Coturnix japonica: one gene and its partners. The protein of the gene in region 1 interacts with the protein of each later gene in a biochemical or structural test. Links are inferred from orthologs where the notes say so. Each region holds a gene or a part of one and is shown in the gene's direction. Other genes may lie near its edges.

Evidence for each region.
Region 2: the proteins of ATR (region 1) and RPA1 form a complex in vitro, tested with the Homo sapiens proteins (2 studies listed by BioGRID, with this or other methods). The link is inferred for Coturnix japonica from reciprocal best matches to the Homo sapiens genes ATR and RPA1.
Region 3: the proteins of ATR (region 1) and ATRIP form a complex in vitro, tested with the Homo sapiens proteins (4 studies listed by BioGRID and IntAct, with this or other methods). The link is inferred for Coturnix japonica from reciprocal best matches to the Homo sapiens genes ATR and ATRIP.
Region 4: of the proteins of ATR (region 1) and ABL1, one has a biochemical effect on the other in vitro, tested with the Homo sapiens proteins (2 studies listed by BioGRID, with this or other methods). The link is inferred for Coturnix japonica from reciprocal best matches to the Homo sapiens genes ATR and ABL1.
Region 5: of the proteins of ATR (region 1) and CHEK2, one has a biochemical effect on the other in vitro, tested with the Homo sapiens proteins (2 studies listed by BioGRID). The link is inferred for Coturnix japonica from reciprocal best matches to the Homo sapiens genes ATR and CHEK2.

The regions. Positions count from the first base shown.
Region 1 is NC_029524.1:8,872,339-8,876,539, reverse strand, and holds part of ATR (serine/threonine-protein kinase ATR), read left to right. Parts: coding exon 1-139; intron 140-763; coding exon 764-931; intron 932-1,728; coding exon 1,729-1,923; intron 1,924-2,258; coding exon 2,259-2,444; intron 2,445-2,867; coding exon 2,868-2,960; intron 2,961-4,201. UniProt on the Homo sapiens protein: Serine/threonine protein kinase which activates checkpoint signaling upon genotoxic stresses such as ionizing radiation (IR), ultraviolet light (UV), or DNA replication stalling, thereby acting as a DNA damage sensor.
Region 2 is NC_029534.1:4,234,300-4,237,472, forward strand, and holds the end of RPA1 (replication protein A 70 kDa DNA-binding subunit), read left to right. Parts: intron 1-915; coding exon 916-1,002; intron 1,003-1,326; coding exon 1,327-1,434; 3' UTR 1,435-2,334; downstream 2,335-3,173. UniProt on the Homo sapiens protein: As part of the heterotrimeric replication protein A complex (RPA/RP-A), binds and stabilizes single-stranded DNA intermediates that form during DNA replication or upon DNA stress.
Region 3 is NC_029527.1:2,068,020-2,072,789, reverse strand, and holds the start of ATRIP (ATR-interacting protein), read left to right. Parts: upstream 1-1,672; 5' UTR 1,673-2,075; coding exon 2,076-2,681; intron 2,682-3,404; coding exon 3,405-3,575; intron 3,576-3,714; coding exon 3,715-3,830; intron 3,831-4,162; coding exon 4,163-4,326; intron 4,327-4,770. Other genes in the region: protein BTG1-like, read right to left, coding at 1,007-1,356, 1,448-1,565. UniProt on the Homo sapiens protein: Required for checkpoint signaling after DNA damage. Required for ATR expression, possibly by stabilizing the protein.
Region 4 is NC_029532.1:4,616,318-4,620,518, forward strand, and holds part of ABL1 (tyrosine-protein kinase ABL1), read left to right. Parts: intron 1-36; coding exon 37-221; intron 222-2,261; coding exon 2,262-2,414; intron 2,415-2,999; coding exon 3,000-3,089; intron 3,090-3,329; coding exon 3,330-3,494; intron 3,495-4,201. UniProt on the Homo sapiens protein: Non-receptor tyrosine-protein kinase that plays a role in many key processes linked to cell growth and survival such as cytoskeleton remodeling in response to extracellular stimuli, cell motility and adhesion, receptor endocytosis, autophagy, DNA damage response and apoptosis.
Region 5 is NC_029530.1:6,772,357-6,777,342, reverse strand, and holds the start of CHEK2 (serine/threonine-protein kinase Chk2), read left to right. Parts: upstream 1-2,006; 5' UTR 2,007-2,016; coding exon 2,017-2,362; intron 2,363-3,195; coding exon 3,196-3,320; intron 3,321-3,552; coding exon 3,553-3,700; intron 3,701-4,057; coding exon 4,058-4,148; intron 4,149-4,650; coding exon 4,651-4,759; intron 4,760-4,986. Other genes in the region: iron-sulfur cluster co-chaperone protein HscB, read right to left, coding at 374-465, 575-622, 981-1,125, 1,242-1,331, 1,576-1,672, 1,742-1,968. UniProt on the Homo sapiens protein: Serine/threonine-protein kinase which is required for checkpoint-mediated cell cycle arrest, activation of DNA repair and apoptosis in response to the presence of DNA double-strand breaks.

The DNA.
Region 1 (4,201 bases):
CCTGCACTTGTTGCATTGTTTGTTGTCCAAGTCAGCCTCTGTGGCTGGAGCAGCATACACAGAAATTCGGTCCCTGGCAGCAGCTAAGTCCATAAAACTACAAGCTTTTTTCAGTCAGTACAAGAAACCTATCTGTCAGGTAAAAATAAGAGTTGGTGACTTATAAAGACGTTGATTCAAGTTTTTGTTCTGTGTTTTGAAAATGTTACTGAAGATAAATATTACTTTATTTTACAAGATGAAATCTCTTAGGGTAGGAAAGAGATTATTTAAAGTTTAAAAAAAAACAACACTTTATGGAAAAAGTGGAAAGTATTTGATCTTGTCATTAGTCTTCTCCCTTCTCAGCACTGATTTTCACTTCTATTCCCTAGGTGCCTTAATGCTGACATAGAGGACCTGTATATGTTCTTGCATTATATGGTACCATTGTCATTGGAGGCTAGAATGTAAACTAGGAATTTAAGTCAAACTTTATTACAGGCATAATCATGCCACGGTTAGCATTTCCTAAAGGCAGAAATTCTGCTTAAAGTACAAAGTATTAAAGATAGAACAAGAGGAATCTATTTTAGGTGTGTGCAACATCTGAGGTCGTGATTGCAAAATGAAATGCCATCATTAATCCAGTTCTATTATGAAATAATTATCTTAGATCTATGTGCAATACAAGAGAAACAAAAACAGATGCATAGAAAAAATGAAAGTCTTAGGGAGTGAAAAAAAGGGGAATAATATTTATTATCTATTTCTTCATGCCTAGTTTCTAGTGGAATCCTTGCACTCCAGCCAGATGGCAGTATTAAGTGCTCCATGCCAGGGTAATGAGCTGCACAAACAAGAAGCTGCTCACCAAAGGGAAATGGCTCTGGACATGTTGTCTGAGATTGCTAATGTATTTGACTTTCCAGATCTAAATCGCTTTTTGTCAGTAAGTTGGTTAGTCCCTTTTACTTTTTTTTTTTTTGGGGGGGTGGGGGAGGAGGGTGAGGGAGGGGCATTGTATGCTTGTGGATTTCTTTTTAGTCTGTATTCCTTTTTTTTTTACTACAGATCTGATGATTTTTTTCTAGTTGCTGTTTGTTATTTTTAGAATGATTCTGGATTGCTGGAAGAGCTCAAGTACAGAGGAACTGTTTTATTAAAGAGATACAGTGGTGGCTCAGCTAATTCAAATATGATGTTTAATGAACTGTCTGTAGTCCAGAATACCAATTGAGTATACCTACACTAATGATTTAAGGCGTGATTTGTGTAGTGCCTGTTTTCCTGTTTTAAATGGAGAAATAATTGTTTTGTGGATAAATAATCTTGATCTGAATAAATAACTGCTTTGTATTTCTCTTCTACCAGCAAACAAAATACAAATCTACGAAGCATGTAAGATTCAGATAAGCATCTCACTTCTTATTGGGATCTTTTAGTACTGGTTAAATGAAGCAGTTCTGTTTAAAAAATAAAAAATCAAAAATCAACTTTTTTTTTTTTTTTAATGAAATGCTTCTATCTCAAGTTCTTTTTTTTATAACTATGGCTATACACAGGAATGTAGATATATGTTGACCAGGACCTGGATTTGGTGTTTTTGGAGGGTGATTTGGTCTGTATGTGTTTTATGTGTGGGTTATATTGATTTGGTATGATTTAATTCTGGTTTTTAGTTTGCTGTCTGTTTTTTTTTTTTTTAAATTATTTTTATTTTATTAAGTGTTGTTCTTAATTTATCAGCGGACCCTGCAAGTTTTGCTGCCTGACCTTGCAGCCAAGGCCAGTCCTGCTGCCTCCATCCTTATTCGAACCATAGCAAAACAGCTGAATGTAAACCGAAGAGAGATTTTAATCAACAACTTCAAATACATCTTCTCTCATTTGGTCTGTTCCTGTTCTAAGGATGAGCTTGAGCGGGCACTTCATTACCTCAAGGTAAATTAATATTTGCTTGGTTACAAATGCAGGTGGAGAGCAATGATGAATGAATAGTGAACTTTCTTCTTTCTGTTTTATTTAAATAAAAGTATTGCAAAGCAGAGCTGGGGAAATAGATCAAGTTCTTTTGTTATTATTTGTTGTCAGTTCTGTTGGCTCTGAGTATTTTGTGAGATATTTTGTGAACTTGAAAACTCTTGGATTATGTGATGTTGACCTGACTGGGAGCTTTCTCTTTATTCCTGTGGTAAATCAATCTGAGTCCATTGTTCCTTGTCTCTGTGTGCTAATTTCACTGTGGTGAAAGTAAGACTTGTTTTTGTCGATAATAGAATGAGACTGAGATTGAACTGGGCAGCTTGTTGAGACAAGACTACCAGGGACTGCATAATGAATTATTGCTACGTATAGGAGAGCACTATCAGCAAGTATTCAATGGTTTGTCTATATTGGCTTCATTTGCATCTCACGATGATCCCTATCAGGGACCAAGGGAAATAACATCCTCTGAGCAAATGGTAAGTCCATCAAAATATTCATTTGTTTTTATTTACTATAAATATTTTTAATCTTGAGTCTGGGAGACAACTTGAGTTTTCTAAGCATCACGTATAAATCCTATTTGAGACAGAAGTGAAGAGGAAATTCTGTCATTGCATATTGAGTGTTCCTCTGATACAGAGATACAGAGATGCACAACAAGAATGCATTGAACACAGATAAAAAAATAAACCAACAAAAAACCCCACAGCATAGCAGGGATGTCTTTCACGAACACTGCTACTTTTTAATGAACAGTGTATGTGCTTGGGAATCTTTCCATTTGTCAGCATTACCATTTCATACTTGCTATTTCCTTACTTAAACTTAGCAATTTATCTGTGTGTTAACAGTAATTTTACTTGTTTTTACTTTTTCACGTTTTTTCCCCCTCTCTACAGGCTGATTATCTGCAACCTAAATTGCTTGGTATCTTGGCCTTTTTTAACATGCAGTTATTGAGTTCCAGTGTTGGCATTGAGGATAAAAAAATGGTACGTAAAAAGAATATCAACATTAAAACAAAGAAGTAAAACTACTTTGGTACTCCAGGTTTGCTTTTGTGTTTAGGTAGTTGTCAAGGAAGGCTCAAAAAATAATGAGGTTTACACATGAGTCTTTTAATAGCGATGATCTCACTGTGGGCTGGACTTCTGTGTAAGCTCAGAAGTATGCTTTTCTTTTCCTCTTTATTGGTCAGCTAATGTACATAATTGAGTCATGGTAATTATAGAGGAGGAATTCAAGTGTTTTACACATGCAAAACAAACATGAAAGAAACACAGTGGAGGGTGGAGGCATATGGGAGGAAGCTGAAGTCAAGGATTTGAGGACCTTGAAGTTCAAACCTGAAATTACTGGTAAAAGAAGATAGAGTGATGCAAATCCAAGGGAAATTGGGCTTGACTCATTTTGCTTCTCGTAGAACAGCTCCTTTGAGCTTAAACTCTGCTTCTAATTGTAGGGGAGACCCTTTTTAGCTACCACACAGAGGCAGTGTAGGTAATTTATGTAGGCAGTTATGCAGTCCTGGAACACATAACCTTGATACTGATAGACTTGCTGTATTTCCTCGGTTGGTGTGCCCTTTCTAGCTTTTTGCTTCTGAGGTATTCTTATTAAACTACTGTCATTATTGACCATTTGTCTTGATGCTTTCCAAATTTCTTACATTATGCATCATTTCTTATCTTGTACCTGCTATTATTTTTTCTTGTTTGGTTTGTTTTATTTCTCCATGAGTGTACAAGAATCATATCTCCAAAGACCTTTTCTCAAGCTCTGGTTTCTTCCTCTGATAACTGATGTGTCATGCTGGACATTCTGCTGCCTTTGTTAGGCACAGTGTGTCTGTGACTGAAGAATCTCCTACTTTTTTTCTGTCTTGCATCGTACTATTTCTCTTAGATCTCTCATCAGTCTTGGTGACAACTGACATGTAAACTACTCCATGAAGCTTGCTATCACTTCTGCTATAAGTTTTATGTCAATTATCTTTGTTTTTAAATGTGAATTTGTTTTCTCTATATTTTCTAAATGTCTACTTTACAGCTTCTCAAACTTTAGATGTGTAGTCAATCATCAGATAACAGATTTCTTTAACTGTAAACTCCACTGGTGTCTACAGTTCTTCCCTCATCAATCTGTCAACTGTCTAAACAGTTAATTGTTCATTGTAGCCCTGTCATTTCAGTTCTCATTTCCTTCTCTTTTTCTCTAATCCACAAATGATTTT
Region 2 (3,173 bases), on another chromosome or scaffold:
TTGATAAAATGTCCTTCCTTATCCTCTAATCCGTGTGATGGTCTCAGGAAAGGGTTTTCAATATTCAGGAAGGATGTGCCAAAATTTTGCAGTCTGCAGCTTGCTACTTCTGTTTGCTTTCGTTTGTTGCACTTTCTGAACCTTAGAAGAATCACAATGTGGTGCAAAATAGCACTGTGCACATTCAAACCAGCAGCTTTAACACTTGGAATGAGAGTGAAGGGGATGCTCCACCTTCTCCTGGATGCACTGATCGAGTGTGTTGGGTGGATGAATGTATGAATAATGACACGTCTGCATCTCAATGGGGCTGCAGCGTTTTTGTGGAACATCAGCAAAGATTTTAACACATTTTTACAAGAACAAACTTTCCAGTATTCAGCTCATCTGATTCTTTTCTATTGTTTTGACAAATTGTCTGCAATAAATGATGATTATGTTTAGTGCTCATATGGTAATTAGAAGTAGCTTATGTTGTAAATGTGACATGCCCTTCTAATGGCTATAAAAGATGCTCAAAACATGCATCCACTCCTCTGTAGATCATTGTTTAAGTGGGTCAGTCAAGATATGAAGGATACACACAGCCTCAATGGATAAGCAGAGAAATTGAACGACTGATAAGACAACTAACAGGGAATTAGTTAGCTCTGTTTGGCTGCAGGCTCGCTACAATTCTGCCTTATTTTGTTTAGATCTCTAACAAGTTTTTTCCACCTTGAACTGTACTTTCAAAAGCTTTAAGCTGTGATGTTGGCATGTAAAATTTGGGGGTAATTTCAGGTCTGCGTGCATGAATGAGTTGGTTCCTATATTTTGTGAACGCTAGCAAAAGATAAGCTGTTGTGAAGGGTCATAGCACTACCAGAAGCTTGAGTGTGTGCAGCTGGTATCTGTTCTTTGTCCTCCTTGCAGAACGAGCAGGCGTTTGAAGAAGTCTTTCAAAATGCAAATTTCAACACGTATGAGTTCAAGATCAGAGTAAAACTGGAGACGTACAATGTAAGTATCCTCTGCAGCGCTGCCATAAGAGATGGCTTCCTCCTCTCGTCTTTGTGGGGTGAAGTTTCAAGTGACTTACAGCAACCACTGTCAATCCTGGGCACCAGAGGAGGATCCTCTGCCTTTAAAGCCATTTCCTCTCTGGTTCCTCCAGCATGGCTGGTTCCAAATGAAAGGCAGTGTAGCTGCTCTGGGAGTTGTCTGCTCTCCCAGCTAATCCTGGTACCACGAACAGTGAGTTACCAGGGCAGAGAGGTTAGAACCAAATGCCTCGGGCACTGAGTATTCTTTCTGCATGCTATTTTTTTTTCTTTCCTTTCACAGGATGAATCTCGTATTAAGGCAACAGCACTGGACGTCAAACCTGTAAACTACAGAGAATACAGCAAGAGGTTGATTGCGAGCATCAGGAGAAATGCTCAGCTAGGATGAGAAGGCTCATGCTGCTTGATCAAAGCTACAGACTTCCAGGAAAAACTCAGAGGATGTTACATTGACTTTTTCCCTGCTCTACATATGACAATTTGGCATTAGTTACACCGTGCACTGTAGCCCAGTGTAGTGGGATGAGTGATTTAATGCATTTCTCTGAAGACGTGCCCCTGCTAGCTTAAGAGTGTACCCAATGGCCATGATGCTGTAGGCTCTTGTGGTCTATTAAACTGTGACAGCACTATAGAGGATCCTCTAGACAGATTGTCAGTATCTTTAGACAAAGCATTCAGAAAATCTGAAGTAACTTTGCTTTCTTGCTATACATAAACCTGAATTACATAACCATTGTGTCGTCTTTGCGAGAAAATAGTGACAACCTTGGCACTTGGACTTGTTCTGCAGAGGATGGGAGGGAGAGTGTCGTGCAGCCTTCAGATCTGGACGAAGGAGAGCAGGTCTATTAGCACGAGTTAGTTATTTTCTGTAGAATTCAAAGGCTTTTTCTTTCCACAGGTGCCATGCAGTTAATGCTTGGAATGGCAATATGGTAGAATTATTAATCAAAGACATATCTTTTATATCTGAAGAATATCCTTCCTTCAGGGTTTAATAGACTGAGTCAGATGGGTCTGATATTAATCAAAATTGTCTCTTCTGAGGAAGGCAGATAAGCATTGACTCTCCATCCCCCAGGGAAATCTAGGCAACTACAAAGCATTGCTTTAGTTTTCACTTCAATTAATACTATAGGTTTTTGACTGATTTCAGCACGCGTTTCCTTCCTGTATGTGTTCTGTATGTATGTTCAGTTTGTTAGGTTTTATTTGTTAATCAGAACCAGGTCTTTCAATGGGGGGGGGAGCTTTGTTTGAATAAACACTGTGTAATTCCTGTGTAGTGAATTTTGCTTTCTTTGAACACCAAAGACTTCTCATTACTGGAAAGCAATTAATTAGCTTTCATAATAAGCATTCACTTGGGGGAGATGTTACCTTATTACTAACTCTAAGGTTAGACTGAAGAAAAGAGACTTCTTTGCCTGATGTTAACGGCATGGAAATGCAGTGATATTTTCACCATTTCTGTGCCTGAGAATGCTGATGAGCTGGCACTTCTGGGATTTTTATTGACGTTTACACAGCAGTCTAAAACTAACCAGGCTTTGAGATTTGTTCAGACATAGAGCTAGTACAGAAAACAGTAATTATGCTACTGGGCTTTTCAGTCAGCAGAGCATGCTAGCTCTGTGTGCTCCTAATCACATTAATTATGTGTTCCCTGGCTGCAGCTCACAGCTTGGCATTTGCTGCACAGCTCTGAGCATCCAGGCAGTGCTGCAGTGGGTCTCTGGTAGCAAAACTGGCATGTATTTATTTTGCACTGTTTCCTTGTGTGTTCATGCGGTGCCCTGATTTCCTATTTATCTTCTCAAGTCTTGATGCTTAGGAGCTGTAAATGCCACATCTACTGGTGGACACGGAGGTTGTTATCCTGGGCCCATTAATTGCACAAACAACCCCTTCTCTTTCAGAATCTGAGGATCGTGGCTGGGTCCTTCTGCTGATGCCTTGAATTTTTTATCCAAGTATCTGTTCCCTCTGACCTTGCTTATGAAGCGTTGACGAGGAAATCACCGTCTTCAGCACAGCCCCGGATTGACAAATGGTGGGTTGGCCGCGATCATCTATCTTTCCACTCTACTAACCAGTCTTTTACTTCTGCTCCTCCTTTCCACT
Region 3 (4,770 bases), on another chromosome or scaffold:
ACCAGGGGCAGGTAAATGACGCAGCCTTTCACTCCAGCTCCCTACATGGGTCTAAGCCACAGTTTTAAACACAAAGTCAGGGAATTAAAACATCCTTCTGAAGCAGATTGAGTGTTGAAAGAATACTACGGCTTCCATTCAGCTTCGCCCAGCACACACAGCAAACCACACAGCCTTGCTGAGGCGCAGGGCTAAGCAAGCTTTACCGGTACTAAGTGAGCTGAAATAAAGGTGAATATGCAGAGCTTCACCCTCCTAAAGGTGCGGTAACGACTAGTGAGAGCCATGGGAAGCTTTGAGAGCAACGTCTCAAAAGGAAAAGGAGAAAAATCACAAAACAGAGACCGGACAACAATGAAAACCAAAAGTCCAAAGCACTTTGAGCAAGTCTTTATTATTCTACTCGGCCAACTAGAAAGAAGATAGACAAATCCCCCAACCCCTGTCAGAACATTGGGGCGTGATGAAACGCGGCTCCAAATGAACACGTGCCTTGAAAAAGGTAAAAAATACTTGAGTGATTTGTGCCCTGCAGCCAAACTGGAATGACCCTGAGAAAAGTCTGTGCAGACAAGTCAGTGGAGATCGATGTGCAGCTCCTGGCTTCTGTGTTAATCCCCTTTGTGTTATTGCTTGCAAATGGAGTTTGGTTTTGTTGTTTTATTTCAAAAACAAAGTGTTCATCTGGACTACAAATCCACCATGAGTCGCTACAACGTGGCTTTTTATTACAAATACCAGAATCGCCTCGAAAATAGAAATGTGTAAAACAATCAGCCGTCTGTACAGTGCATTTACAGTACATGGTCCAGAGGAACACGCGGATCCAAGACCCGCTTTAGCCCTTGGCCACACAGCATTGGCAGTACGATACAACCCGAATGCCACAGGGTGAAACTACCATTAACTACTCGTTAAAAAAAACACCAATCGAGAGACCTCGGTTACAATGGAGTTTATCACACAACTGGGATACGTACAATAGCTGTACAAGAAACAGCAGCTTCTAACTAGAAACAGTCATCATGTTGTAACTCTCGGACGGGCTGGACCGGCCAGTTCTCCACTTCTTACAGCTGTTCCTGCTCTCCAGGGGTTTACTCGCCTTGGCCCCGGGCTGTGGATTCTCATAGAGGACGCAGATGGAGCCGTCCTCTCCTATCCGATACGACACCTCGAAAGGGTCGACCCAAAGAGTCAATTCGTTGGGCAAGAGCTGGAACAGTCTCTCGTGGCTCAGTCCGATGGTCGCCGCCGCTTTGCCGATCAGCGGGTCCATCTGGTGGTTGATCCTAATGCACCGATACCCGGAGCCTTTGGTGGGCGCCGTGGGGAACCAGTGGTGCCTGTAGTGTTCTACGGGAGGGAACAAAGAGCGGCGTTAGTGTCAGCGTTACAGCCCGTCCGTGCGCCGCGGGCTCGGGCCGGGCCGTGTCCCCCCGCTCACCGCGCAGCGCCTCCTGCAGGCGCTCCCTGAAGCACCGCAGCTGCTCGTCACCGATCCCGCCGGCGGCCCGCAGGAGCCGGGTGACGAACGCCGCGGCCGTCGAGATCTCGGTTCTCATGGCCGCTCGGCTGCCGCTCGTCGCCGTTCCGGCCCGGCCCGCCGCTACCGCACCGCACCGCTCCGCCCGGGACAACGCTCCGGCCAATGGCGGCGTCGCGCAGCGACACGTCACAATGACGCGTCCCGCCCCGCGCCCCCCTGCGACGGCAGAACAGGATCCCCATTGGTCGAGATGGGCGAGGGGCGGGGCTTACGGGACACCGCGAGCGGCCATTGGGCGGCGCAGGAGACGGGCCGTGTTTGTTTTGCTGCTGAGCGGCGCGGTGACACGGAGTAACGGGACGGGGTGTGTAACCATGGTGACAGCTTGGGGCCTTGAGCGGCCGCCCGACTGCTGCTGCTATTGGGAACCGGAATCACACCAACACTATCCAGGCTCCGAGCTGTCCCCGTCAGGGCTGTGCGTCCATGTTAGTGCGGCGTTACGGGAGCTCACAGCTGGGGAACGTCACGGAGCAGCGGCAACAAGTGACGTAGTATTTCCGTATATCGAGTATTGCCGCACGGCATGGCGCGGTGTGACGTCACTACGTCAGCGTGGCGTCACTACGTCGGTGTGACGTCACTCATCCCACCGCCCTGCCCATCCAATCAGCGAGCTGCTCACAGCGCGTCACGCGGCGACCAATGGCGGCGGCGCTTGACCCTCGGGGGCCGCCTTAGGTGCGGTCTGCCATTGGCCGGGCAGGAGGAGCTCTCGCCGCTGATTGGCCACGGTTCGTCGCGCGGGTTCCCGTCCGTCGCGCGGCGTAGCGGTGCTGCCGCCATGTCGTTGCAGCTGCCGTTCGTTCCGCGGAAGCGCAGCGGTACCGACATGTGCGGGCCGGGCCGGGCGGCGGGACCCGCTGCGGACAGTGCGCTGCGGAACGGGATCCCGCCCAGCAAACGGCACAAGGGGCCGCCGGGGAGCGGGGCGGAGGAAGATCCTTTCGGGGACAACGACGACTTCACGGCGGACGATCTGGAGGAGATCGACACCATCGCTTCCCAGGCGCTGTGTGAGCCGCTGTGTCCGGGTGTCACCGCGCCGGGCCCGGCCCCGCACAGCGCTCAGCTCACAGCGCCCTTCCAGCTGCAGGTGCTGCGGGCACAGCACGACGATACACGGAGGAAGGTCAGAGCACATGGGAATATAAGGGGGGATCGGCCGCGGTGCTGGGCCGGGAGGGTCGGGATCCGCGCTGGGAAAGGCTCTGAGTGGGAACGGCACAATGAGTTTGCGGGGTGTGGTGCCACCATTGCCCAGCAGCGGGTGCTCATCTGTCGGCTTTCATCTGTCCTGTCAAACCCGGAGCAGCGCTGTGTCCTTCATGGTTTGAAAGAAGAGCATTTAAGGGGATGGGGTCACTGAGCCTTGTGGAAAGGCACCGCTTAGACCACACCATCATCACCTTAAAGGCCCTTTAAGGCCTTTACTTTAAGGCCCTCCAACCTTCTGCAGTGTGCAGGGACATCACAGCTCTATCGGTGCTCACAGCCCGCTGGGTGTCTGCAGGGATGAGGCACCACCACCTCTCTGGGTAACCTGTGCCAGTGCCTAACCACCATCACTGCAATAACTTTATGTCCATTCTAAATCCCCCCTCCTGTAGCTGGAAACCATCTCCCTCAAAAAAGGGATGGAAGCAGTGCAGAAAAGCCCACCGTCAGACACCAAAACACTGTAATTCTATTAGAGAATGTCACGGAGCCTGATTTAATAAGGAAAAGAAATAGAAGCCAGACTGTGGGATATCTAAACTGAGCTGTAGCAACACACTCCATCTTTGACCACATAGAGAGCAATACAGATACTAAATGCTGAATGTGCTGCTTAATGGAATTCATCTCTTTGCAGCTGAAAGAAATGCAGGATGAAATTCTTACTAAAAATGGAGAAATCAAAGTTCTGCGTGACTGGATGCAGCAGATGGAGCGTGAGATGGAGGAGCAGAAGAGGTCGTACGTGCTGTTGGAACAGCAGCAATCTCAGGCCCTTGGTGAAAAAGAAAGAGAGTTCTCCAAAAAGGTTTGTAGCTCAGTCAGTCACCTCAACACAACACACAGAAAGAAGCCTGCAACCTTGAGATCTTACAGACATTTGCTTTGCAGTTGGATTAACACTTGCCTATTCTGTAACAGTAAAACCATCTCCTTAATTCTTCCAGTTACTGTCACTGCAGTCAGAGTTGCAGTTCAAAGATGCAGAAATGAATGAATTAAGAACGCGACTTCAGAACTGTGAAAGAAATAAGCACGTCACTCAGACGGTTGTGCCACAAAGGTGTGTATGGGGGTTTGGGGAAATAACCTGTGTTTCTTTTTGTTCACACTTGAATTAGGACAGATGTTTCCTGTCTCTGTGTGACTCTTAGGTCCATTTCCTTGAGAAAATACAACCAAAACCATTCTTTTGACCTAAACAGATGCTGGGACAGAAATGCAGGGGATGTAGAGTGAAGTACCTCTTTAACATCAGTACCAAGAAAGCTATTAAATAGATCTGTAATAAAATAGAAATAGATCTTTAATAAAATGCTCCCAAAACAGACATTGGTTCATTGGAGCTGGAGGGGAATTTGTTGGTATCTTGTTGTTTTCGTTTATTTTTTGTAGCCCTAAAAAGAACGTTGCAATCCAGATGAAATCAGAAGGGTGTCCTCCGCAGCCTGGAAAAAGGTCTTTTCCTACAAAAGAGTCTTTCAATGCTGAAACTGCTGCCAGACCCTCTTCTTCTTCTTCAGGAAACTGGTTTGCACAGACAGTTTCCAGCAAGGAAGGTAAACATGAACACAACTTGCAGTATTTTTAGCTGCTTGTGAACATTCTGCCTTAGATTCAGGTTTTGGCCCAGTGTGACCCAGCAGTTCCAGTAAGGTCAGGGCAGGAACAAGGGTGGTTCTTTCGGTATGACATTGCTTACATTCCATACAGCTCCACCTCAGGTTTGCAGGAGGATGGCTTTGCAGTGAGCTGAATGCCAGGGGAGCAGGGTGGAGGTGTCTGCTGGCTTTGGTGAGAAACTTTCATTTATATGAGCTGCAGGATCCGAACTGTTCTCTGTGTTTCTCACTCAAGAAGGAACAGGAAATAATTTGCTTATTTCTTGAATAGGTCTACCAGTCAGCTAATGCGTTTTTTATACTCCTGAGGTTTGGGTTTTGATAACCGTTCTCTGTTTTTGGTATTTTATTTTAAATGGTGCATGTTCAGCCATGTTAAAC
Region 4 (4,201 bases), on another chromosome or scaffold:
AGACTTCTCATTGCTTGGTTTTGTTCTTGTTTTTAGGGACCTCGCTGCCAGAAACTGCCTGGTAGGGGAGAACCACTTGGTGAAGGTGGCAGACTTTGGCCTGAGCAGGTTGATGACAGGTGACACGTACACTGCCCACGCTGGGGCCAAATTCCCCATCAAATGGACGGCACCAGAGAGCCTGGCCTACAACAAGTTCTCCATTAAGTCTGATGTCTGGGGTAAGAATTTGCATGAACAAATTAATTCAGATTATGGTCTTTTACAACCTTCGTTTCCAGGGCTGTGAAATGAGGATGCTGTGAAATGTTTCAGGAGAGAGCAATGCTCCCTGCTCTGAGCTGTGTTGTATCAGAGTGCAGGAATTAATCTCTGCCAAGTCGGTCTTGGAGTGGAGAAGTGAGGCTGCAGACCTGGCTTTACGTGTTTGAGTCATTGACAAGTATGAAAACAAAGGACACTGTGGTGTTTATAGAGTTGTATGAAATGGGGCTGGAGGGCAGCCGTGCTGCTGACTTGATGGAGCTCTGGCACAGAACTGTGAAGCAATATATTGCTTTATCGCCAGGAACTTTCAAACTACTTTAAGGAGAAAAGTGAGGATCTGGTTCATTTTATGTTAAAAAATTATGTGTGTATCTGTCTGTCTGGTGATAGCTCCGAGCTCGTCTTTCTGCATTTTAAAAGAATAATCTTTGGAATGAGATGAGCAGAAACAGAGAGAAAATTTGATGACAAATGGTTATTGAAGAGCCCTGAGGTGCTGGTGATAAGACTGGGCTTAGCTAAATGGAGCTAAATTCTATGAAATCTGACTGCAGAAAAATCTCATTCTACTTCTTTTTTTATCGGCCTTTCTTTGGGTTTTATATCTCTTCCATAGCTATTGGTCAGATCCTCAAAAGTGCCCGGTGATACACGATAGAAGTTTGCAGGACTTCATCCCAGGGGTACATTGAAAACATTACCCTGAGCATCTCCTATGTGTTTAAAAGATCAGACGGTGGTGGAGCAGCAGTGAAGTTCTCTGGAGTTTTGAGGAGACGGTGCAGAGAGAGGCTTTATTTTGAAGGAACTCTTAGAGCACGGCTGATCCAAAACGTTTTAGCGATGAGGGAGCTGAGCTAAGCTTTTCTTCTGCTCCGAGCTGCTGTGTGACACTGCTGGCCGCGCCGGGTGGCTGCGGGGAGCCCTTGTACTTCAGTAGTGGAGTGCTCTGGGAAGAAAGATCTGAAAGGGATATTGGGTATCTTTAATTAGGGTTGGTGTGACCTTGCAGAGTGACAGTCAGAGCGGTGGACTTTGGGATCTGATCAGAGCAAGCTGGCTGTCCCCAGAGGTCACGGCTGCTGCTGGCCATGCCAGGGTTTAGATGCTTTTCACCTCGCTGCCTCCAGACAGAAATCAAAGAAAATTGTGCACAGAAATGTCTAATGTAAATTGCCCTTGGTGGTGTTACCATGTAATGTGATGTGATTTCCTTACTTATGCAGAATTGTAATCGCTTTCTCTTCAGTTTAAGACCAGAATAGGGTGACTGAACCAATTACATGCAGGTTGTTGAACTGGTGTTGAGTCTATTCTGCATGGCTGACTCCTGGGTTAGCTGCCCGACCCCGGTGCTGACCTGCATCCCCGCTGAGTCTGGGGACTTGAATGCCTCTCCTGTTTAAAGAACCTCTTTGTGCTCTCCCCTTTTCTGCTCAGCTTTCCCCATGACCAAAATGTCTCATGCAGACTTGGTCTCATTGGTAGCAACTACTGAATATCTCTCACCAGCGGGACCCCCTCTTCCCTTCCAGTCTGCAGCTAAACAAGGGCACCCCAAAAAACACTGAGCTATTAAAACACGCGAGTCCTCTAGGGAGAGACTGCAGATGAGAGGAGCTGTCAAACTGGGAGAGAGACTGCAGTGCTGCAGTGAAACAGTTTCAGCTAATCCACTGTGAAGTCTCTTAATTGTGCCTTTAATAGGACTTGAAGGATCTCAAGGCGTTCAGGTTTGAGACAACTGATACATTCAAAATTAGTCTAATTCTATTCTGTCATATCGCAGGAGACTTGTCTGTGCTGACGAAGGGGCTTGTTCCACTGCTTTAACATTGAAGCTAACACTGAGCATGGAGTCTGAGCCACTCAGAGCTGGTTTAAGTGTGCAGCACTGTTTAGCGACTACTCCCACTAAATGTCTCCTCAAATTTAAGATGAAAATAAAGTTTGTTGATTTTAGTTTGTTTGTTTTATTTTTCTACCCACTGCAGCCTTTGGTGTTCTGCTATGGGAAATTGCAACCTATGGCATGTCCCCTTACCCTGGGATTGACCTGTCTCAAGTCTATGAGCTGCTGGAGAAGGACTACAGGATGGAGCGCCCTGAAGGCTGTCCTGAGAAAGTGTATGAGCTCATGAGAGCATGTAAGTGTTCTTCAGCCTTGCAAATGCCATTACTGCTTTGTAGCTCTTCAGCAATGCAATGAACGTGGCCAGATCTGGTCACATCCAGCCAGATACAAGAAACTCTCTGTTGGTTCTAGTGAAGACGCAGTGCTGTGTGGAGATGCTTGGTTAGAGCTGCTTTCCCCAGAGGATGGAAGCACTATGAAACCAGCCATTCTTCCCTGCTGGGAGCTCGTAGGCCTTGGGGAGAGATTTGCTGTTTTTTTTCTCCTTTTCCCTGACTGCTTACAGATAAACTTGTGCTGCAGGGGTGAGGCAGGAGTCTGGTAGGCTTCTTAAGGGAGTAGGTGTTGCTTTTCCTCTGTGGCCTCTTGGTACGTGACTTGTTATGTGGTATTTTTCCTTCCCGAGATGTTCCATGCCTGCCCTTACTTTGGCTCAGTGGTGGTTACAGATGCCCAGCACCATTCACACCAAGTTTCCATGCTGGTGTTTTCTTTTGGCCATTTAATAAAAAGGGTTCTGTGATAGTTGGCACCTCCTCGTGTACTGTGATGGGTGTGTAATGCTGGTAGGAAGTTCTCAGTGCCGGTGTTTTTGCAGGCTGGCAGTGGAGCCCCTCTGACAGGCCTTCCTTCGCTGAGATCCATCAGGCGTTTGAGACGATGTTTCAGGAGTCCAGCATATCAGATGGTAAGTCTGGGTCCCTTTGGGGCTGGCAGTTCCAGGGACAAGGGATGCCTGTGTCCTGAACTCTGCACGTAGCTCAACAAGGGCACGTGTCTAACTATAAATAGCCAAATGGCTGACCAGCCCTAAGGATCTCCCTCTTTGTGCTGTTTCATTTGTTTTGTGCAATTAACTCGGAGCAGTGCTCTGGTTTTTTTATATTCTATGTATTACAGTAATCTTTTTTTCTTGTGTGCATTGCAGAGGTGGAGAAGGAATTGGGAAAGAAGGGCATGAGGAGTGTAGTGAGCAATTTCCTTCAGGCCCCAGAGTTACCAACCAAGACACGAACATCGAGGAGAGCTGCTGAAAGCAAAGATGCGAATGAGAGCTTGGAGACTGCACACGCTCGAGGCCAAGGGGAATGTGGTAGGTTTTAATTAAAGTCATTATTCCTTCAGGAAATAATAGGAAAAACAAAAGGCATGCTCAGGTCTTTGCTTAGGAAAAGCCATGTCTGAAAACAGGTGCCATCTTTATGTATCAGCATTGTATTTCTGGGTGACAGGCTGCTAAGTTTGCCTTCCTGCTTTCAGAACTCCTTTCATCATTTATTACAGAAAGGCAGGCTGTTAATCTTGGGACCAGATACAAACATAGAGCATCTGGGAGTGTGAATCCATAGCTGGCTGAGCAGTTGGCGCTATACCTGCCGTTGCTTAGAGAATTCCTTGGAGTTCTTTTAACTTAATGGCAATTGCCTACAGCTCCCTATAGACAAGAGCCTGAGCACAGCTCTCTGGTCACATTCTCTTCCCATTCCCTGGTAGGAGCTATCAGAGGGATCTCCCACTACATCTGAGCACTGGGTAATCTGCGGTGTTCAAGCCTCTTTACTACCACACTGCATAATTTAGAGCAGCACGATTGCTCAGGTTTAGCAAGCCCCATAAGGGAGGTTTCTTCACTGTTCCATCACACCAGTTTTGTGCTTGGAGCACTGAAGAGTATTACTCTTGGCAGGTACCAAATATAATTGCAGCAAGGGACAAAGAGGTATTTACAGAATCTTCCATGAAATTAAACTCTATTCAGTCTGTTTCTCCAAGCATTTCTCTTCCATTCTGAGGTAATGA
Region 5 (4,986 bases), on another chromosome or scaffold:
ATCATTTCACTTTTAAAGATGTTTCCAAGGCAGCTGGGTAGGATGCTCAGCAGAGCTGGCTGAGCTTTCCCTTTGATCTCCAATGTTGTGCCCAGTGCTTTTCCTCAACAGAAAGGAAACTCTATGGACGTTAGTGGTAAAAACTCATAACTGCACACTGTGAGCACCTCTCTGATAGTTTCCACACCCAGAACTCCATGAGGATGGTAACCTCAGGCACGTGATGCAGCTTTTCCTGGCTGCTTTGTTTTCCTTCTCTGAGAGTTAAAGCTTGTACCAGAGGTGTAAGAGGCAAACACCACTTGTCTGTGTTTGGTGCAAGTCAACAGTTTAATAAAAGTTACATTAATTCTTAATAGTAAATGAGATGCTATCAGGAAGGGATCTTCTTGTTCTTTAGTTTGTCCTCCAGGTTTGCAAAGTACTTCATTTTGGCAAGAAGCTTCTTAGCTTCCTGAAGGTCATCTACAAAGAAATTAAAACAAAGAGGATTATTTAAGAGGAGGGCACAACTGTCATTTTCAAGGTGAATCTGAAGGTTTCCTTGCCAGCAGCTATTTAATAAAACAATTACCTCTTTCAAAAGCTGCAGTCACCTCTTTGGTCAGTTCTTCTTGTCTGTCTGTAAAACAAATTATCTTATTCAGCTTTTGCTTCATATTTGTATCTAATACAGCCGTGCTCAGTCTGTGGTGTGGTCTTTTGGAAGATAAGAGCTCCTTGTGTTAGCACTGCCAGCCTTTTTCCTTATCCTTCCAGCAGTGTTTCTTTATTGACACAGCTCTACAGCCAGCAGTACCTATATATATACACACACACACACACACACACCAGTGGCTGCTCACTTCCCAGCAGCTCAACTTGCTTTGATCTCCAGCACTGCACCCAGGGTTCTTCCTCAATATAAACCCCACACGTTTCAGTAGACAATACAGGGATGTAAAATTCACTCGGTACAAAACCCGCAGACCGAGGCCCACCTTTAATTAACGTTTCTATCTCCCCGAGGATCTCGTCGTTCTGAGGCTCTGCTAATTTCTCATTGATTTCCATGATTTCCATGAGAAACTCCTTATCCTCATCGCAGTCCGTCTCCTGCGCCGGCTCCACACCGCGCAGCTCCAGCTGGAGGAAAACAAAACAGCTATTTGGAAACGTGAATATGGGCTCTCTGAGTGTGAGCACTGAGCGGCTGCGGGGCCCTAAGATGGGTGTGTGGATCTGCCCATCCCAGCACTCACCAGGTAGAGGCCGCGGCTCAGGGGGTGCAGCAATGTCTGGTAGGCCTTGTTGATGAGGGAAGAGTGCTGCTCCGAGTAGTGCTGCTCCTTCTGCCAAAGAGTAATGAGTCAATAAGCAGCGCACAGAGCGGTGACCCTGCACACACCCATGGTCAGGGGACGGGGCTGTGAGCGCTGATGGAGCTGTGGGTGTCCCTGAGCACTGCAGGCAGTGGGAGCAGATGCCCTCGGGGGTCCCGTACGACTCCCCGGAGCTCAGCGGTCCCGGAGCTCGGAGCCGACACAGCGCGTCTCCCATAGGGCAGCGGTCGGTCACTCGCGGTCGGTCACTCACCGCCGGGCTCTGTCCGAAGCGGTCTGGGTGCAGCGCTCGCTGGAGGCTCCGGAACCGCCGCTGCAGCCGCTGCGTGTCGATGCGGAAGGAGCGATCACTGCGGGCGACACGAGGCGGCGTGAGCAGCTCGGCCCGCTCCGCTCGAGTCCGCCCCGCCGGCACTCACCACTCCATCAGGCGGAACAGGTCGGGACGAGGCTCCGGCGGCTGCAGGGCCCGGCAGCGGGGACAGAAGTGCGGGACCGCATCGAGGCCGGACAGCGCGACGCCGCAGCTCCAGCACCGCGGGGACGGGACGGAGCCGGGTCCGACGCACCGCGGCCGCGGGGCCAACTCGGACACACGCAGCGCCCGCCGCGCCCGGCCCAGCTGCACCCGCAGCGCCGCCTGCATCGCCCGCACTACGGCTCCTCCCGGCACCGCGCCGCCATTGGCCGCTGTATGAGCGCGGCGCCTGCGCTGTGCGGTGCGACGGGCGGGGCGAGCTGTGAGCGTGGAGCCGGAGCGGAGTCAGTGCGGGCGGTGGGTGCTCCCGCCATGTCCAGAGAGACAAGGAGCGATGTGCAGCACTCACAGGGCACGCAGCCATCGCAGGGCGGAACCAGCTCCTCCTCCAGCGCCTCGCAGGGCGCCAGCCAGTCCTCGTCCAGCTCCGGCACGCTCAGCTCTCTGGACACGGTGCCCACGCAGGAGCTGCCCTCCATCCCCGAGGACCCGGAACCCGACGAGCTCGTTCCCCAGCCCTGGGGTCGGCTCTTCGCGCTCGGAAAAGGTTTCAGCAATTGGGGTACGTCACCGCCGGCCCCGCCGCCTGTCCGTGCGCCTCCTGGCTGTGTCGGGCCGGGGATGCACCGTGCCGTTCTATTCTGTTGCCGTTCCATTCCGTGCCGTTCCATTCTGTCCCATCCATTCTGTGCCGTCCATCTGGCCGTTCCATTCTTTGTGCCGTTCCATTCTGTGCCGTTTCCATTCTGTGCGTTCATTCGCGGGATCATTCTGTGCCGTTCCATTCTGTGCCGTTCCATTCTGTGCCGTTCCATTCTGTGCCGTTCTATTCCGTGCCGTTCTATTCCGTGCCGTTCTATTCCTTGCTGTTCCATTCGTGCCCATTCCATTCCTGGTCCCATTCCATTCTGTGCCATTCCATTCTGTCCCGTTCCATTCTGTGCCGTTCCGTTCCGTGCCGTCCCGCTGAGCTCCCGGCTGTTTCTGCTCGGAGTCCGTGTCTTCTCCACTGCCTGTCTGTGTCTGTCCGCCCCGTAGCTTGGTTTGGTTCGGTTTGTTTCTGCATTGTGTGAATATATCGCTGAAGGTGAATGGGAAATGACGCTGTTATTCAATGGAATTGCTGATGTATGTAGTGAAATTACAGGGTCATGGAATGGCTGAGGTTGGAGGGGAGCTCAGGGATCCCCCACCCCTGCCATGTGCTGCTGCACCCAGCTCGGGCTGCCCACCTTCCTCAATGACGTATTGGTAGCATATGGCGTTTCATTGGAATCAGGAGAAGTAAATGCTGATGTCTTTGTTATCATGCTTTACTATAATGTAAGGCATCGTTCTGCAGGGCAGTAGTTAATAACTGCCTCAATGCTGTGTTCTCTCTCCCATGCTCTGCAGACTGTGTCAATGACGAGTACTGGTTCGGAAGAGACAAAAGCTGTGATTACAGTTTTTCTAAGCTCGGATTATCTGAAACTGGGTTTTACCAGAACTACAGCAAGAAGCACTTCCGAATATTCAGGGTAGGTGCTAAAAAGGTTATTTCTTTTTCTGTGTATGGCCATAATTGAGAATGGTGAACCTTTGCTGGGATCTTATTGAACACAAGGTTTGCCATGTCCAGCCCGACTTCTTTAACCAGGCGCTGAGTGATGTTCCCTCTCCATGTTTATGAAGTACTCCATTGAGCCAACACTGCTGTCGTCCTTTTCTTCGCCATTGCTCTCTTTCTGATTTCTTTTTCTTCCCTGTTAGGAAACAGGACCAAAAAACTCCCACGTTGCCTACATTGAAGACCACAGCGCAAATGGAACGTTCATTAACAGAGAGCTCATTGGGAAGGGGAAGAGGCTGCCGCTGACTCATAACTCGGAAATCGCACTATGTATTCAGACTAACAAGGGTAAAATACACCGCGATGCATGTGGGCTCTTTGGGTGTCAACCAGGAGGTTCTGTGTGCTGTGATCTGGATCTTGTTTGGTGAATACCATGTGGCTGCAGTAATAAGAACAGCCCTAAGTTTATCGCTGTGTTTGGCGCAGACCCAAGGTCTCACTTCTCAGTAATGAGATTTCCTGCCTAAAGCATCATTGCAGCATCAGCTGATGGGGTTTTGGTTTCTTCTTCTTGCTTTCCTATTTCCGTGCTGTTTCCAGCAGGCAGCATTTGCTCAGTTGTGTTGTTGACTGTTAACAGCTTGGGAAGTGTTATATAACCATTTTGAAGTAACAGGACGATGCTCTCCACCCATCTCCCAGTGTTTGTCTTTTCTGACCTCACGGTGGATGACCAGCTGGTGTTTCCTAGAGAGCTCCGAGAGAAGTACATCATGTCCAAGACGTTGGGAAGGTAAGAATCCTTCTATCAGAAGCAGCACCTTTCATTTTGTTACTGCTTTCGGTACCTTGTGCTACCTGAGCACACTGTGCTGGGCTTTAATGAAGATGAAACACAAATGAGACGTGGTCTCATTATCTATTACTTGGAATATCCAGAATCATAGGAGGGTTATCAGAGATACTTCAAAGCAATTGGTGGTGATTTCTGAATTAATTGCTCAAGATTTGAAACTATCTTACGACTATGTTTCTATTTACTTTACATGCAAGAATGTTTAAGTACGTTTGTAATTGGTTGAAATTGGGGTCTGACACCATTTGGTGCTTAAATACTATTGAATATTGTCTGAGATAGTTTTGTCCATCTGTTATATTGAGAGAGCTGGAAAGCTGCAGCCTCTGATTGCACGTAGTCTTAATGAGGTGAGAGCCTCCTGTTCACGTCAGCACGCTTCTTAGGCCGAGTTGGGAAGGTATCTGTAAGCATTAACACAGCTGTGCTTTCATGCTAGCGGTGCCTGTGGAGAAGTCAAACTGGCATTTGAGAAGAGCACTTGTAATAAAGTTGCAGTAAAGATCATCAACAAGCGGAAGTTTATGGCCAGTGGTGTTAGAGAGGCAGTAAGTACCTTTGCTTCTGTCTTTTGACCATCTTGCAGCTGTTCTCAGATACGGGCAGCCTTTATCTCTTACTCTCCAGTCCTCTCCGATTAAAGGGGGTTTTCTGACTTAAAGTTTTCTGTGTGTGATTTCTCAATGGCATTTGATATTACAGAGTGTATATAACTGTGTAGCAAATGCTTGCTTTTATTCTTTGACCAAACTCTGTTAGGACTGATGCCTTATAT